Linked DNA regions of Danio rerio. The protein of the gene in region 1 purifies or fractionates together with the protein of each later gene. This does not show direct contact. Links are inferred from orthologs where the notes say so. Each region holds a gene or a part of one and is shown in the gene's direction. Other genes may lie near its edges.

Evidence for each region.
Region 2: the proteins of nup153 (region 1) and ran purify together in Homo sapiens (affinity purification with mass spectrometry; 5 studies listed by BioGRID and IntAct, counting the BioPlex papers as one, with this or other methods). This does not show direct contact. The link is inferred for Danio rerio from reciprocal best matches to the Homo sapiens genes NUP153 and RAN.
Region 3: the proteins of nup153 (region 1) and nup50 purify together in Homo sapiens (affinity purification with mass spectrometry; 8 studies listed by BioGRID and IntAct, counting the BioPlex papers as one, with this or other methods). This does not show direct contact. The link is inferred for Danio rerio from reciprocal best matches to the Homo sapiens genes NUP153 and NUP50.
Region 4: the proteins of nup153 (region 1) and kpna2 purify together in Homo sapiens (co-immunoprecipitation; 4 studies listed by BioGRID and IntAct, counting the BioPlex papers as one, with this or other methods). This does not show direct contact. The link is inferred for Danio rerio from reciprocal best matches to the Homo sapiens genes NUP153 and KPNA2.

The regions. Positions count from the first base shown.
Region 1 is NC_133194.1:48,923,891-48,927,919, reverse strand, and holds part of nup153 (nuclear pore complex protein Nup153), read left to right. Parts: intron 1-702; coding exon 703-755; intron 756-863; coding exon 864-984; intron 985-2,019; coding exon 2,020-2,169; intron 2,170-2,273; coding exon 2,274-2,372; intron 2,373-2,450; coding exon 2,451-2,532; intron 2,533-2,617; coding exon 2,618-2,716; intron 2,717-2,804; coding exon 2,805-3,374; intron 3,375-4,029. UniProt on the Homo sapiens protein: Component of the nuclear pore complex (NPC), a complex required for the trafficking across the nuclear envelope. Functions as a scaffolding element in the nuclear phase of the NPC essential for normal nucleocytoplasmic transport of proteins and mRNAs.
Region 2 is NC_133189.1:25,979,031-25,983,641, forward strand, and holds the start of ran (GTP-binding nuclear protein Ran), read left to right. Parts: upstream 1-1,423; 5' UTR 1,424-1,555; exon of another isoform or gene 1,556-2,152; 5' UTR 2,153-2,195; coding exon 2,196-2,228; intron 2,229-4,611. UniProt on the Homo sapiens protein: GTPase involved in nucleocytoplasmic transport, participating both to the import and the export from the nucleus of proteins and RNAs. Switches between a cytoplasmic GDP- and a nuclear GTP-bound state by nucleotide exchange and GTP hydrolysis.
Region 3 is NC_133179.1:71,848,730-71,853,454, forward strand, and holds the start of nup50 (nuclear pore complex protein Nup50), read left to right. Parts: upstream 1-1,560; 5' UTR 1,561-1,672; intron 1,673-4,725. UniProt on the Homo sapiens protein: Component of the nuclear pore complex that has a direct role in nuclear protein import. Actively displaces NLSs from importin-alpha, and facilitates disassembly of the importin-alpha:beta-cargo complex and importin recycling.
Region 4 is NC_133178.1:24,115,261-24,118,066, reverse strand, and holds part of kpna2 (importin subunit alpha-1), read left to right. Parts: intron 1-1,925; coding exon 1,926-2,189; intron 2,190-2,276; coding exon 2,277-2,510; intron 2,511-2,598; coding exon 2,599-2,781; intron 2,782-2,806.

The DNA.
Region 1 (4,029 bases):
TTATTTTTGCTAAAAATCAAGGCCAATAAATGGCTTTTAAAAGCATTCAATTTCATCATGATGGGCATTCAATTTAAGTTTTAGAATAAAATTGTATTGGCAGCATATTTTGATTTATAGCCTCAATAAAAACATGTTTTAAGTGCATTTTCAGAGTGATTAACAACACAGCCGGTGTTGGAATTGGTTCCAACCTCTGAAAATTTGTATGACATGGGCTATCATGCTTGATTCCTTCAAGGATGGGATTGTACCACATTATAACAGATTTTCCTGTTTTTGTAAGTCTGTGGGATGCATATATATAATATATAATGTTATGTAATATATTATATAATATTGTGTAGTCCTATAATATGTGTGTATCAGGGAGCTGCTGTCAATATGCAAGGTAATGACATCACTTTAAATGTGCATTAATGCATTTTCTTTACGTGCACTACTAGGTTTTGAATCCCATGACCATACATACTCCATGTATATAAATAGAGCTGCGAGACTGGATGCACAATGTATAAAATGACATATATGTCTTTACTCTCTATATTTAATCAGTCTTACTGTCGAGCATACATTAGCTGTGTTTATAACTGTGTGTGAATTTCAGTAGTAATTAGTACTGACGTTGGAACTTTTAACAATCCTATTTGAATCCTCCCCTTTTAATTGGTTATAATATTCTTTCTTCTGTATTTCTTTAAGCCGGTAAGACAATCCCCTCCGATTTCAGAACCCGCCCAGGCTCCCCCTCCAAGGTAAGAGTAAACGGTTTGTTTTTATTATTATTAGAATTATTTACTCTTTGCCATAGTACCTGGGATTGTGTGAAGAAATGCTCAACATGTCAATTTCTTTGTTCACAGCACAAGTACTTTGTCGTACCCCTTGTCCAGCACCCCGGCTGCTAACAGTGCTGCTCTAGGAGGTGGCAAAATGAAGAGAGAAAGGGCCATCAGACCTTCATCCAAACGGCCTGATGATGAGGTCAGAGATATTCTGTTGCTTGTATACTAGAGTTGTTGCAAGAAATTGTTTCTGTTATTTGTTTATTTTCAAAAATGCATTGCTGTTGTTCTTTTTAATTGATTCTCAGCTTTGTTTTTAACAGCAGATGGCACCATATGCTTTACAAACAGATGTACTCTGCTTCCATCCGATTTCAAATACCTGTTTGGCCTAGAACTTTTATTAGTAAAGTTAGGGAAGGTATAGGCGACTACAAGTGTTCATAGTAAGCTGTTTACATTAATCGCAAGGCAAAAAAGCCAACTTGAATGACTCATTCAAAAGCACACGCTTAAGCCTAGAACTCCATCTGCAATTATAAATCAGCCTAGAGCGCCGACTGCTGTTTAAAAAGTAGCCTAGAGTGCCGTCTGCTTTTTAAAAGCTAGCCTAGAGTGCCATCTGTTGTTATGAACTAGTCTAGAGCGCCATCTGCAGTTTAAAATCAAGCCTAGAGCATCGTCAGCTGTTAAAAAGGTAACTAGAGTGCCAATGCTTTTTAAAAGCTACCATAGAGCGCCATCTGCAGTTATAAAACTAGCCTTGAGCACTGTTTGCTGTATAAAATCAAGCCTAGAGCATCGTCAGCTGTTATAAAAAGGTAGACTAGAGCACAGATGCTGTAATAAAATAGCCTAGAGCGCCATCTGCTGTTTAAAATCAAGCCTAGAGCGTCGTCAGCTGTTATATATGCAGTCTTAAACCAGCCTAGAGCGCCATCTGCTGTTTAAAATCAAGCCTAGAGCGTCGTCAGCTGTTATATATGCAGTCGTAAACCAGCCTAGAGCGCCGTCTGCTGTCATAAACCAGCCTAGAGCACCGTCTGCTGTCATAAACCAGCCTAGAGTGCCGTCTGCTGTTATAACCCAAGTTCAGTATTGCATTGCTTTTTGAATCTCAGTCAATTTTCTCCAAATGTTTTGTGACCGCTCTTGCTTATACACTTTTGATCAGAACTTGTTTTGAATCAGTCCACCAGAATGCTTAAATGCTCATACGCGTTTCTTCTTCCAGGTTGCTGAGGAACCAGATCTGCCGCCAGCTTCTCTTCCCAGCAATTTCACTTTGCCAACATTTACTTTCTCCACTCCTCCTCCGACCTCCTCGCTCAAATCCAGCACAGCACCACTTATAACCGTCTCGGAGGAGCCAGCAGCGAATAAGGTATTGCTTTTCTTTGAGCCACCAGAATCAAACTAAGAAGCTTATTACCGTTATGGTGGATGAATAATAGGTGCTAGGATCACTTTTGTTATTTGTTTAATCAGCAGCCGGCTGCACCATCCACACCACCATCTGCCCCCTTCACGTTCTCTTCACCTATCGTCAAGGCAACAGCTGCCAGCCCTCCATCTTTCTCTCCATCGGTAAGTCTACTTGCTTATATTATACTTCATAGGCTTCATATAATATGAGCGTTAAATAATGATGATTCTTCCCTGTAGTCTGGATTCACCTTCAGTGCACCTACTATGAAAATGGGTCCCTCTTTCTCCAATGGGAAAATTGTTCCATCAGTAGCACCAGGTAAAAGCTTGTTTTGCACTGCAATACGGATGTTATTTTTATAAGTACAGTTATGGTGTTAATATTTCTTTCCTGAATGTTTCAGTCAAATCAGTGGTCATTGAAGAAAAGGAGTTTGAAGGACCATTCAAACCTGCAAAGGTCTTAAAACAGGGCAGTGTGTTGGACATACTTAAGGGTCCTGGTATGATTTGTTTTTCCTCATTTATTTATTTCTCTCTATGAAACTTTAGTTGAATGCTGTTTATTTATTTGCCTGCTTTCTCTTTCAGGATTTGCATCCCCCTCTCAGAATTCGACTGATAAACCTTTACAGTCCACATCAACAACAACATCATCTCCATTTTCTGGTTTTGGTGACAAGTTTAGGCCACCGGCAGGATCATGGAACTGTGGAACTTGCATGTTGCAAAACAAGCCCTCGGACAAAAAGTGTGTGGCTTGTCTCGCACCACAGCCCAACACAGACTCTTCTAAATCGGACAGTAAACCCGCAGAAGCTCCTGCAAGCATCAGTTCCCTCTTTGCTCCTCCGGCTGGTAGCTGGGAATGTGACACATGTCTGGTCAGTAACAAACCGGACGCAGTTAAATGTGTAGCTTGTGACACAGCCAAACCTGGAACTGGAGTAAAATCCAGCCTGACTCTACTGGCTGCCTCTGAGTCTTCATCCTCTACAACCACCACAGCAACCACCACTGCTGCTGCTTTGACTTCAACTGGACTGTTAGGATTGGGGGACAAATTTAAGAAGCCAGAAGGGGCTTGGGATTGTGATGTGTGCATGGTTCAAAATAAGGCTCAGGATCTGAAATGCGTAGCCTGTCTGACCGCTAAACCAGGTAAAGTTTCAATTTTACAGTTTTATATTCCATCCCTATTTCTGCCTGATATTTCAATACAACATTTGTTTGTATAGCACATTTAAGACAATTACAATCGACCAAAGCGCTTCACAGAGTATAAAAATGAAGATGATTCTCTGAAGTAAAAAATCATTGCACATCAAGGCAGAAAATTGTTAAATGACAATAAGAGAGAAGTTTTAAAAGTAGAGTTTAATATAGATAAAACAGAGGCCGTTCTGATGTGCACTGGAAGACTATTCCACAACTTAAAGGGATAGTTCACCTAAAAATTAACACTTTTCATGATTTAATTTCCCTCTATTTATTCCAAAGCTGTTTGAGTTTCTTCTGTTGAATGAAAAAGGAAAATATATATATGTTTTAAATGTTGGAACCTGGTAGCCATTGACTTCCATAGTATTTGTTTTTGCTACACTGCATATCAATTGTTACTAGGGGTGTAACGGATCACAGTTGATCCGTGATTTGTACAGATCACAACCCACGGTTCGGAACAAATGTGACCTGTGGATTAATACTTTTTTAACTTGTGGATTAATCCTAAATTTGTAACGATTGCAGAGAGATCATCTCTCGAGTCATTCTAATCACATGTATGAAAGCATTTAGGCTTTCCTGTAAAATATAA
Region 2 (4,611 bases), on another chromosome or scaffold:
CTGAGGGTTCCTTCATAGTGCTCCAGGAAGTCAAAAAGGTCTTTGCAGGGTAAGGGGTGCTCCAAAACCATGATGTAAGAGTCTGGCAGCTCCTGCCACTCCAGCATCTGGATGATCTGAGGAATCCTTCGTTAGCAAGTATTGTTAGTGCAACTTCTAATGAAAGGGGAGTAGGATGACCAGGCTGTAGAAGATAGAAATTTGTTGTCAGTGATGTTTGAAAATTCTTTTTTTGGCTATAATTAACATATCTTGAACTAAAAATCAAGAGAACTACAATGCTGAGATAATCCATATTGTTCCTCTTCAAAACAACCTTCAATGCCACCTGATTAACAAAACACAACAATTGTAATGTTGGTGAATTAGTCACATTTATTAAACGTTTTCAATGTAACGTGACACAATAAAAGGACCTGAACAGGCAGTGAGAGAAACATTTAGCTAAGATGTAGTGAGTAAAAATGTAGTTCCTCAAGACCGTCCATCAAGCAAATCGCTTTGAAGACTGTGCCGTGTCCTCCCTTACCAAGCTTTTGTACAATTTTATAGCAGCCCAAAATGTCACCTACAAAAAGTAAAGTAATTGGAGTTATCATTAGTGAACATATAAAAAGGAATATTTCCATATGTATTAGGAACAACTTTCCTTAGGGTTATTTCACATGTCTCCACAACTCGATTTAGGAAAAAAGGCTTCTATAAAACATTAAGTACCGGTAGATAGCTAACACATATTATGATGTTGGAACATAGCATGAACATTGTTGACAAAATACATATAAAGGTCAATATACCGTTGAAGTCTTGAGCCAGATGTTGAACCTGCTGATCATCAAGGGCAGGCTGCTGGAATTGAAGCTGGACGGGCTGCTGGAGCTGGATGTCTTGCTGGAAATGGAATTGGAGCTGGACGTTCTGCTCAATTTTCTGAAGTTCATGACTCAGAGAACAATCTATTAAAGAATCTTGATCTAAAGAGGGGCACATCGACCAAAACATGCTGTATTACTATTTTAGTACGTACGTGCAAATTGAATTTCATAATGTAACAATTGTATGTATTTACCTTCAGTGTTTCTGTCCTCAAAGGTGACACTTGAGAGGGCAACCTGCTCCTTACCTTTATCTCTCGTTTTATTCAGCGGGCAGAAGATTCATTGCCTGGTTGGGGCAGGATTTTGTCTTGGAAATTGTGCACACATCTCTTTCAAAGGTTACAGATTTCCAGCTTTCTTAAAAATGTCGGTTTTTATTTAAAAAAGAAAACTAGTTAGTTTTGAAACAAGTAAAGAGTGAATAAATGTCTACAGAACTTTCATTTTGGGTGACTTATGCCTTTAATCTATTCGCTCTTCACTCATGATAAAGTAAGAACTAAAGCCGAAGAAAATTGAGTGATATGCTGTAAAAGGTTCGCTCTTCTGCCACTAAATGACGCTGTTGTCCCGCGGCAGCAGCAGGTCACGTGGTGGGGCGGAAGCGTTTATGTGAGCCATGCTGAATCCCGCGCGGGCGCAGCCATTTGCTCTCTTCCTCGATCACTTCAACACCGGTGAGTGCGGAACGACTGCGTTCATCTCATCACACACTCTTTTCACTAACACGTTTTATTTTCAGCGCCGACTAAACACATCTGAAAGCTTTTCTGCAGTGCCCAGGCGCTAGTAAGTCAGTCTGATCGTTTTATTGGCCGCAGATGTGCAGTTTTGAGTGTTTCATCATGGCTCATCTCTGTCGTAGCGCCATCCCGAGTTGTTGGTAGCGCGCGATCTTGGAGCCGCGGAAACAACACTTACTTCGTTTTAAGTTCTGTCAACTAAACTAATTTCTGGATTTCTAAAAACTACTAAATTCGCTATTTGTTGATTTTCATGTTGACGGCCTGTTTGAGGCCTTCGGGCGGCCGCTGTATTGTGAAGTTTAGGCTTCAGCGGCAGCGGCCTCGTGTGTTCGCGCGCATCCCCTTATTTAGATCTGCGTGTTGTTCAATGAGCATTACATTTGTTTGTTTTAAGTTCTAAAAGCGGTTTTGTTTTTAATATTGGCTCGAAAAGGTTTATTTGAGTAATCTTGTGGTCCCGTGGCCTTTATTTGGAATTGGTGCGGCCTTTGTGTGATGTGACTAACCGTCCCGCCATCTCTCCCGCAGAGTGACTGCAGCACAAAGACCAACACACACTCACAGTACAGCGATGGCGGAGAACGAGCCACAAGTTCAGTTTAAGGTAACTTACACTTTCACTTTAAAGGCACGACAGTCTGTGGTAACAAATTAAAGCCCCAGTTTGAGTGTTTACATGTTCATCACATTAAGTTTCTAAACTGTTTCGTAACGTTAGTGAATTCGCAGACTCCTTGCTGATAACGAGTGCATTGAAGCGCGAGAACCCACTTGATGCTGAATTTAAGGATATTTTTTACTACATACTATACTACATATAATTGTTTATTATTACTAATAAACTGTAGTTATTTAGTAAATGATGTTAAATTTGTGTAATTGTCTTTAACCAGTTTGTTTTATATTTTGTTATTTTAGTTTCTGTATTATAGTCTATTACAACAATCTGTACAACATTGCTTTATATAATTTAATATTGTCAAGACTTACCAGGGCAGAATCTTCTAATTTTGACCCTTTAGCAATATTATTATAGTTGGATAATATTGAAACTTTTGTTGACACAAATTACCATTGCTATTGTAGTTATTGCCATTATTCCTAATGGTATAGTTTTAAATTAGATGTTTCTCATAGTTTTTAACCTCCACAAACTGCCCGATAGTTTTTCTTGCCTCATACTTGCATTCTAGTGTTTTCTATTGATTCCTAAACCCAGGATTGATTTCCTTTAAAATTAATTTGCCCTGTTGAAATGTAGATGTAATATGACATAAAATGAAGCTTTATTGATAGTAGTGGCTGTATATTAAATTTTAAAAACAATTAGACCTTTAGATCTTAATTTATTACATTTGTATAATGTTACCCCATTGACCATCACTGTTTTACATGTGGGAGATGTATTTTATAGGATATAAAAAAAAATCCATATCTTAATTTCTTTTCAAGCTGTAAAAGGGTTATACAGTGCTAAGAATTTTCTACTGGCCCAATCAAGCCAGTAGTTAGGATTTTTACTTGCCCTGCCAAAATTTTCACTGGCCCCATAAAAAAAAGTTAATAGCTCATTTTTAGCCACAAATTTTAAATGTCAAAAGCAAAACATTGCTTCATCATAACTTTTCTTTAAATACAACTGACAGTTAAAAGAAATACAATTGTGATGTATTTAAATTTGAGGGGGGAGATGGATGGATAGATGTATATATTTCCGCCTATCTATCTATCTTTTAATTTTAATGCCCACATTATCACCAAATATAAATCAGAGAGGTAAGACTTTCTCATAGCTTCATTTTAGTTGTCATGTTTTGTAAAATTCTATTTATTGAATTAATGTTTTTTAAAAACCTGTTGGAAGCAGATCAATTTTGAGCTTTCTTTTGAGGTGTCAGTGCAGAAATAAACAAAACATTTAACAATAGGCCTATTGCAAAAAATTGTACAGTTAAAATGAAGAAAATGATCAGATGTAATTTGTCAGCTTTTCTATTGAATAAACGGCTCATTAATATTTTGGCATGCTTTCACTTTCGTATTTGATATCAAATGCACATTTGCCGGTAGGAATGATATCCCCACTTGTATTTCTCTCTTCGTTATAAGGGTGTCACAATTTCTATTTTAATTGGATTGAAATTCATGCTCCATTTCGATTATCGAATCAAAAAATGGAATCGTCGATGTTGCCAAGCCCCAAAAAAAAGAAACACTCTTGTTGAACTGCAGATGCAGGAGACCCGTCGACAGAACTTAAACCCTCTCCTCTTTCAATGAAGTAGCCGGTGTGGAAGTATTTTGGATTTCCAGTAAGTTATGTTGTCAACGTTCGTGTTGTCGGAAAAAAAGACTCTTTGCAAGCTCTGCTATGTATTAGGGTTGGGCCGATAGACAACACCGGCATCGTGATCCTCCACCCTCCAATCCAGTCAGGCCCTTAACATTAATAAGTCTTGTTTTTTAAGGCCATACTCACACTAGGTACAGTTGCCTCGAACCGTGCCAAAGCACGCTTGTCCCCTCTCCCGTCTCCCCCGATGGCCCGCACTCACACCACAATCAGGCCTCGGCAGGCTTGCGTCATCGCTGCTGTGCTATTCAGTGAGAAGCGCTCTCACTCAGCAGCACAGTGGAGATTTCTCTAGTTATATTGTTTCAGTCGTTTGATATGCAGTCAAATTTCGCCAAACAGTCATTAGGGATGCGGTGACCAGAGTCAAATATTTTGCCAAACAGATCCGCCACTTTTGGCGCTCATAATCATAAAGCTCTTGTGCTGCAGGAATGAGGAGGTCTGCTGAAGGAGCGTAGCTGTGGTGCAGTGAGGGGTTTATGTCTTTAATAACCTACGGCAGTTTGTGTTCACTGAACAGTAAGAATGATTAATAAATTCATATAAAAGTTACTTAATAGACGTCTCGCTTTCAGTTTCGGGCTTTGGCGCATTTTGCACTCATACTACAAGCGTACCGCGCCAAAGCCCA
Region 3 (4,725 bases), on another chromosome or scaffold:
TAATTTTCTCCATAAATAAAACTTTAATCAGAACTTCAGCAAGGGTTAGTCATTGGTGGTCAAGCCGCAGTCGCACTGCACTTTTCCCCTTACTGATTTTCATTCATACGCATGCGAAGGCAGGCAAACCGGAAATGCAAGCTTGTGTGAAGTTTCGCAGTTCACTGCATTCCAATTTGGCTTAGTGAACTTTGACCTCATCACATGAATATGTAAGACCAATAATAGATCGAAACGTGACCTATGTACAAAAATGTGGAGCGATTGCTTGCATTGTCAACGTCTAATCATTTTGTTATATCCTGCCCCCTTTTGCAGTGCTGTACAACAGAATTGTGAATGCTGAAACTCTAGTGTGACCAAGGCTTTATTTGCGATATGTGAATGTTTCCTACTTTCATACAGTTTAATGCAGTAGATATGTTTTTCTCATCACGGATTTTACAACGATTTTCAATCAGGTTTAGGTCAGGGCTTTGTGCTGGCCGTTACATTATTCCAATGTTTTCCTCATCGAGAAACTGCTTTACCTGTTTTGCTGTGTCGGAAAATTGATTGCTGATTAGGCCGAGAAGGTACCGCATGTTGTCAAAGGAGCTCTTTATAAACATTTGCATTTATTTATTTTATATTTATTTATCATAATTATTATTTATGCCACATAGCTGTACAAGAGACCAAACTACTGTAATTAAGGGATTTAACACCGTGAACCAGATTACCTGCGATACCAATATCGGCAGTATTGAAAGTAATGGTGGAATATATGAATTGCAGTACATTATTTCTGAATATTATATTCAAACTTTTGGGTAGAAATGTGCTTTAAATGACATTAAAATAATATTAATTCGATGAAAAGAGTAACATACTGTAAGTCATGAGTGTTTGCAACCACAGTGCTGCAAAACTAAACTAATGTATGATTTTTAATACCCCAAAATACATTAAGTAGTTCTAAATCATTCATTTTAAAATTGATTTTATGCCAAAAATCATTAGAATATTAAGTAAAAAATTATGTTCAATTAAATTATTTTGTAATTTTCCTAATGTAAGTATATGAAACTGTAATATTTGAATGCTAAAAACTAAATTTAATTAACTTTGAAGGTAATTTTCTTTAATATTTAGATTTTTTTAAACCTTCAGATTACCGTATACCAGCCAAATAAATCCTATCCTAACAAACCAAACATCAATGAAAAGCTATTTTAGTCCGCATTCAGATGGTTTCAACCCAAAATATCCCAGCGTAATGTAAAAAAATTACACTTATGAGTGCTTTTGTGGTATATAGGGTCCAGCCTGATCTCACGAGAAAACGTATTTTACCGGTTAGTGGTTTAGAGTTCAGTCGTTCAGTTGAATCATCTACTCAATACTGTTAATATTAATATTAAGAACGTTTTTTTCGGGTGTCTACAGAACTAAACCAACGTAGTTGTCATAATAACTTAGTTAAACCCTTTGGAGTGTGGTTTTGTATATGTAATTCTGTGTGTGAACACTGGGTGGAGTGCGGTTCTCAATAACAACACAGGAAGGCAAACGGGAAGCGTGTGACAGGTGTTTAATTAAGGACGCATCGAGACACTGTTGACATTTTTGTACCGTGATGGAAACTTGAAAAGGTCCTTTGTGTTTCACGAGTGGATGATACAGTCACACTGTGAGTAGGAGAACTGAACTGTATAAACTATATACAATCTGAAACGCAGTGTGGTGGCAAAATGTATATAAGTGATTGAGGTAAAGTTGGTTTTATCAATCGGACTTCCTCCTTAATTGGGAAATTGTAGCAGACTGTCAAAGTACAACATTGTTCACTTCACAGTCAGTTTAATAGTGCTAATGTTGTTTTTGGGGCAGATAAATGCCATATTCAGACGATAGTTTATTATACCCTGTAATATTCAAATTACTGTGGTAAATAGCAACCGTTAAATGAACAAATGTGCGAATTTAAAACCAAATTTTGGCTACCGTTAAACTGACGAAATATTTATGTCACATCCTGCTAAAAACAGCTTACCAGCCTAAGATGGTTGGCTGGTTTATTGAGGTAAAGTTGGTCTTATATTCGCACATTCAACTTTATAATATAATTAATAATAAATAATAATATTATATAATAATTAATAATATAATTTCCTAAAAGTATTATTTGCAAACTCTAAACAGGGAAATAAACAGCAGCTAATGACTATCAAAGTACAACAGTGTTCACAGTCAAATAAACAGTGTTGATGTTGTTGTCAAGTCATACTTGCATGCTAATTCCAATCGAATATTCAAAGTAACATGGCAACCCTGCTGAAAAATCCAGCTTAAACCAGCCTAGGTTGGTAGGCTGGTTTTAGCTGGTCGACCATGCTGGTTTTGGAGGGGTTTTGGCCATTTCCAGGCTGGTTTCCAGCCATTTCCAGCCTGGTCTTAGCTTGTTAGGCTGGGAGATGACCAGCTAAAACCAGCTTGACCAGCCTAGCCAAGCTGGGAGTCCAGCCAAAACCAGTTATGTCCAGCTTAAACCAAGCTGGTTTTAGCTGGATTTGGCTGGTAATTATTGAATAATGTGCAGGTTAGTGTATACTAATATTGGAAATTATTGGAAACCAGCCTGGAAGTGGCCAAAACCCCTCTAAAACCAGCCTGGTCGACCACCAGCCAACCAGCCTAGGCTGGTTTAAGCCGGATTTTTCAGCAGGGAAACAAAATAGAGACTGCTAAATGAAAGAATGTGCGAATGTAAAACCAACTTTACCTCTATCATTCGTTCATGTAGCGGATATTGTTTACCGTTACTTTGTATATTCGATCAACATTAGCATGCGAGTATGACTTCTAAACAACATTAGCACTATCTGATTCACTGTGAGCAATGTTGTACTGAGTCATTGGCTGCTAATATGATTTCCGTGTTCAGAATTTGCAAAGAATACTTTTCTGAAATTATATTATTTAGGAGAATGTCTGAATATCCGAATATAAAACCAACTTTACCTCTATGGCTGGTTTTAGCTGGCTGATCAGTCTGGTTTTAGAGGGGTTTGGTCCTGGTTGATGACGTTTTTTTTTTTTTTTTGCTATTTCTGCGGAGAATTTGGGTAAAAATCTGTGGATTTCTAAGGAATTATTTTGGGAGTATCATAACGAAAACCTTAATATGCTGTAACAACATCTTAACAAGCTGTACAACATCTACAGATTGCTTTTCAAATATTGCAGTGTACGTTGCAAAATTTAAAATTGGTTTTAAATAAAAAAAAAAAGACTAAATATATGATTTTTAGTCAACAGATCAGACAATAAAAACTCTGAACGGTGTTCAAATAGAAAGAGTTAGCTTTTATAAATATCTAGGTATTTGGATTGATGAGAGATTAGCCTTTGATATACACATTGACAAGTCACTGAAAAAGCTTAGGCCAAAGTTAGGTTTTTTATACCGGTCAAGAAACTGTTTTCCTTATAAAGCCCGCAAAAAATTAGTAGAGAGTACATTTCTGTCTATAATGGATTATGGTGATCATCTCTATATGCACGCAGCTACCCTATTAAGAGAATTAGATTCTGTTTATCATGCAGCGATACGCTTTGTCACAGGGGCAGACTCACGGACGCATCACTGTATTTTGTATGATTCCTTAGACTGGTTATCTCTATATCAAAGGAGAAAATGACGTCTGTACTTATTTATTTTAAAGGCTCTTTTAGGTAAATTACCATCCTATATTTTTAATTTATTAACATTTCACACCAACAACCAACACACTAGATCTGGTTCATGTATTCGTCTGATAGTTCCAAGGGCACTATCAGAACTTGGCAAACGTGCTTTTTCCGTTTACGCTCCCAGGGCTTGGAATGACCTGCAAAATCAGCTCAATCTTGACACTCTTCCGACTCTTGAGTACTTTTAAACATCTTTTGTACAACATTTTAAAGGACACCTGCAATTGTTTGTTATGAGCTGATGTTTTTAAGAATGGTGATTTTGTCATTTTGTGGTATTGTTTGTGATTTTTATATGAAACTTTATGTGCTGCCTGCCATCTTGACCAGGTCTCACTGGAAGAAGAGACAGTACTGTCTCAATGTGATCTCCTGGCTAAATAAAGGAAATAAATAAATAAATATGTGAATTAAAAAATCATATATTTTTTTTTAACTTTTATTTAATCTTTAAAATGCAACTCCAATTAGATCCACTCTATTTGGTAAACAAAGCAAGTCTCTCATATAATATCTCCACTAAAAGACAGAACATATTACTGTACAAAGTGCCTTGTGCATAAATCAGATGAACATGTTCATATTAGTCAATATTATTACTGTACTTAATTTAAAAACTGAATAAACATAGATGTACACACATTTACTCAAGTAAATAAACAGAATTAATGATGGACTGAAAATATGCGGAAAATCTGTAGAAACTATGTCCAGCTTAAACCAGGCTATTCAAGCTGGTCATTTTTAAGCCTGAAACCAGCCTGGAAATGGCCAAAATAACAGGCTGATCAACCAGCTAAAACCAGCCAACCCGCCTAGGCTGGTTTAAGCATTTTTTTTTCTCATTAGGGTACACCTTTAATGTCACTTTAAGCTGAATCTTGAAAAAAGTCAAATATTATTTTTTATTTATTACTAGTCAAGTATTATGTGCTGTCATCATGGCAAAGACTAAATAAATTATTAAAGCTGTCATGTTTAAAAATGTGT
Region 4 (2,806 bases), on another chromosome or scaffold:
AATTCTGAAACATTTGGAATTTGCCTTTCACTATTTAATTACAATTCTTGTCCTCCGTAATTATCAAATGTTTTTGACCTGATTCTCAAGCAAATAATAAAAATTATCGGTTTAATTAGTTTTGTTCTTGTTTATTTACACTCTAAGCTTAATAGATATTATTATTATTATATTAAATTTATTATAAAGGTATACACTTAAGATTTACTTTAAACCTTGGGCTCTTTTCACAATCCATGCGCAGGGTGCAAACGCATTAGGGCATGTCAGAATCCACTTTTTCTTAAATAATGAGGGAAAAAATCCGCTTTGCGCCATGGCGCATGGTCTGAAAGGGTTCAGCTTATTTTATTAATGAGTTATAGATGTGTTTTGAGAATAAACCAATCAGAGTCTCATCTCTCATTCCCTTTAACAGTGCGTTGCATCGCACCATAGCGCATTTGCTATTTACATGACGTAAGTGGAAAAACTGAGCGTTTCACTAGCAAGAAAACAGTTAAACAGAGCATCTACAGCGCGAGAATGAGAAATGAGCCTCCTTATTAACTTTCACGTTTGTGGATAGGGAAACGTGTCATACGCACCGACATCAATTAGCCTATAAGTAATTAATTTAGTTTAAGCGCAAAGATTAGTTTTAAAACTATTTCTAAAATCTGTTCTAATTTCCAGCAAACAAATAAATGAACAATAATAACGAAGTGTGTTCAAAAACCTGAGTTATATCCTAATACACATGCTACTCCCATATGGTCTGAAACCTGACAGGTGGGCAAATCTAAGCTCGTTTTTAATTAAGCAAATATAAATATGCATATAATACTGCTAAAAATAATACATTATACATTAGCAAATTGTCATGAATGAACTGAAAAAGCCTCCCGGGATGAAGGCATGAAAGTATAGTTTTTATATTAATTTAGGCTTGAAAATAATCTTTTGTAATATTTTTAATCCTTAATATGTATTATATTTTAATTTTTCATATGTAAAGATTTTTGCGTATTGCTCTACATTTTGTGTGTATTAAGCAGTGTGTAAGCGAGGCGCACAACTAACGTGCTCTGCTGGACAATAGACCGGCTTTGTTCAGGTCTATAGAACCGACTATTATAGTTTCTCAAAATAGCAATGCACCTCAACACGCCATCTTTTTTTAGATCAGAACGCCTATGGGCGCACATATGATTGTAAAATAAAATAATTGTGTTTTTTTTTTTTTTTTTTTTTTTACAAATTTGATGACTACAAATTGCTAATTGCAACTTGTAACATTCTCCCTATAAATTTACATTTAGAAAACCTATTAATGTATTACATTTTTTTTTAATCCGTCTATAAGCTTCTACTGGTCCAGAACTCAGCTGCCCACATCATCACTAAACTCTTTTTCACCATATTACCCCCATTTTACAAAATCTGCACTGGCTTCCAATCCAACCTAGAGTCGATTATAAAATCGTCCTGCATACTTTTTAAGGCTATCCATAACCTCACACCAGCTTATTTGTCTGATCTCTTCCATATCATCACTCATTTCTGCTCCCTTAGATCCTTCTCCTCCATACACTCTGTTCCCTCTGCCAAAGCTATTTGGCTATTTGTATTTTATAATCTTCTCTTTTTTTTTTTTTTTTTTTTTTTTAAATATACTGTGGGTTTATTTTTAAATTATTGAATTGTGTATATTTGTTGTACAGTGATCATGGGTTCTTGAAAGGTGTATTGCATAAAACGTATTTAAAATTATTAGCTAAAAAAAATTAAAATAAAGGTTTTTACATGTATTATCTCTAAACCTCAAACAATGTTGTTTTTGGTGTTCAGGACTATTTGTTTTAAACTGTAGTGAGCATGCATTACCGCTAGATGGCGTGAAAGCTGTGTAGAATTACCCTGACCAGCCAGTTTTTCTTCTACAGGCTGGTTACCTGAGGAACGTCACATGGACCTTGTCAAACCTGTGCCGCAATAAGAACCCTGCACCACCTCTGGAGGCTGTGAAACAGATACTACCCACACTCATCTGCCTTCTGCAGCACAGTGACAAAGAAGTGCTTGCGGACACCTGCTGGGCCATCTCTTACCTGACCGACGGGCCCAATGATCGCATTGAGGTTGTGGTGAACGCCGGTGTGGTTCCTCGACTGGTGCAGCTACTGGCATCTGGGGAGCTGTCCATTGTGGTAAGTTGGTGGAAAGTAGTGAACTCTTGAGTTATACGTTTAAAATGGTAAATTTAATAATAACTTTTTTATTTTTTCCTGCCACAGACCCCCTCACTACGTTCTATTGGTAACATTGTCACTGGCACAGATGAACAAACGCAGGCTGTGCTGGAGGCTGGTGCTCTTCCCATGTTCCCAGCTCTGTTGCGCCACCAAAAGAGCAACATTCAGAAGGAGGCGTCCTGGACTCTCTCCAACATCACGGCTGGCAGAGACTATCAGATTCAGGAGGTCATCAATGCTGGCATTGTGCCGTACCTGGTGGAAGTTCTCAGACGAGTATGTCACCACATGAACACAATACAATACTTGTTCATGAAGTTAATTTATTTTCAACTTAATTTTTTCTCTCTCTTGCCTCATGCAGGGTGATTACAAGACCCAGAAGGAGGCTGTTTGGGCAGTGACCAATTATACCAGCGGGGGCACAGTAGAGCAAGTGGTTTACCTAGTTCAAGCCAACGTATTGGAGCCCTTGTTGAACCTGCTCTCCACTAAGGACAGCAAAACTATTCTGGTCATCTTAGATGCCATCACAAATATCTTTTTGGTATGAGTCAATTTTAAGTTGAGGG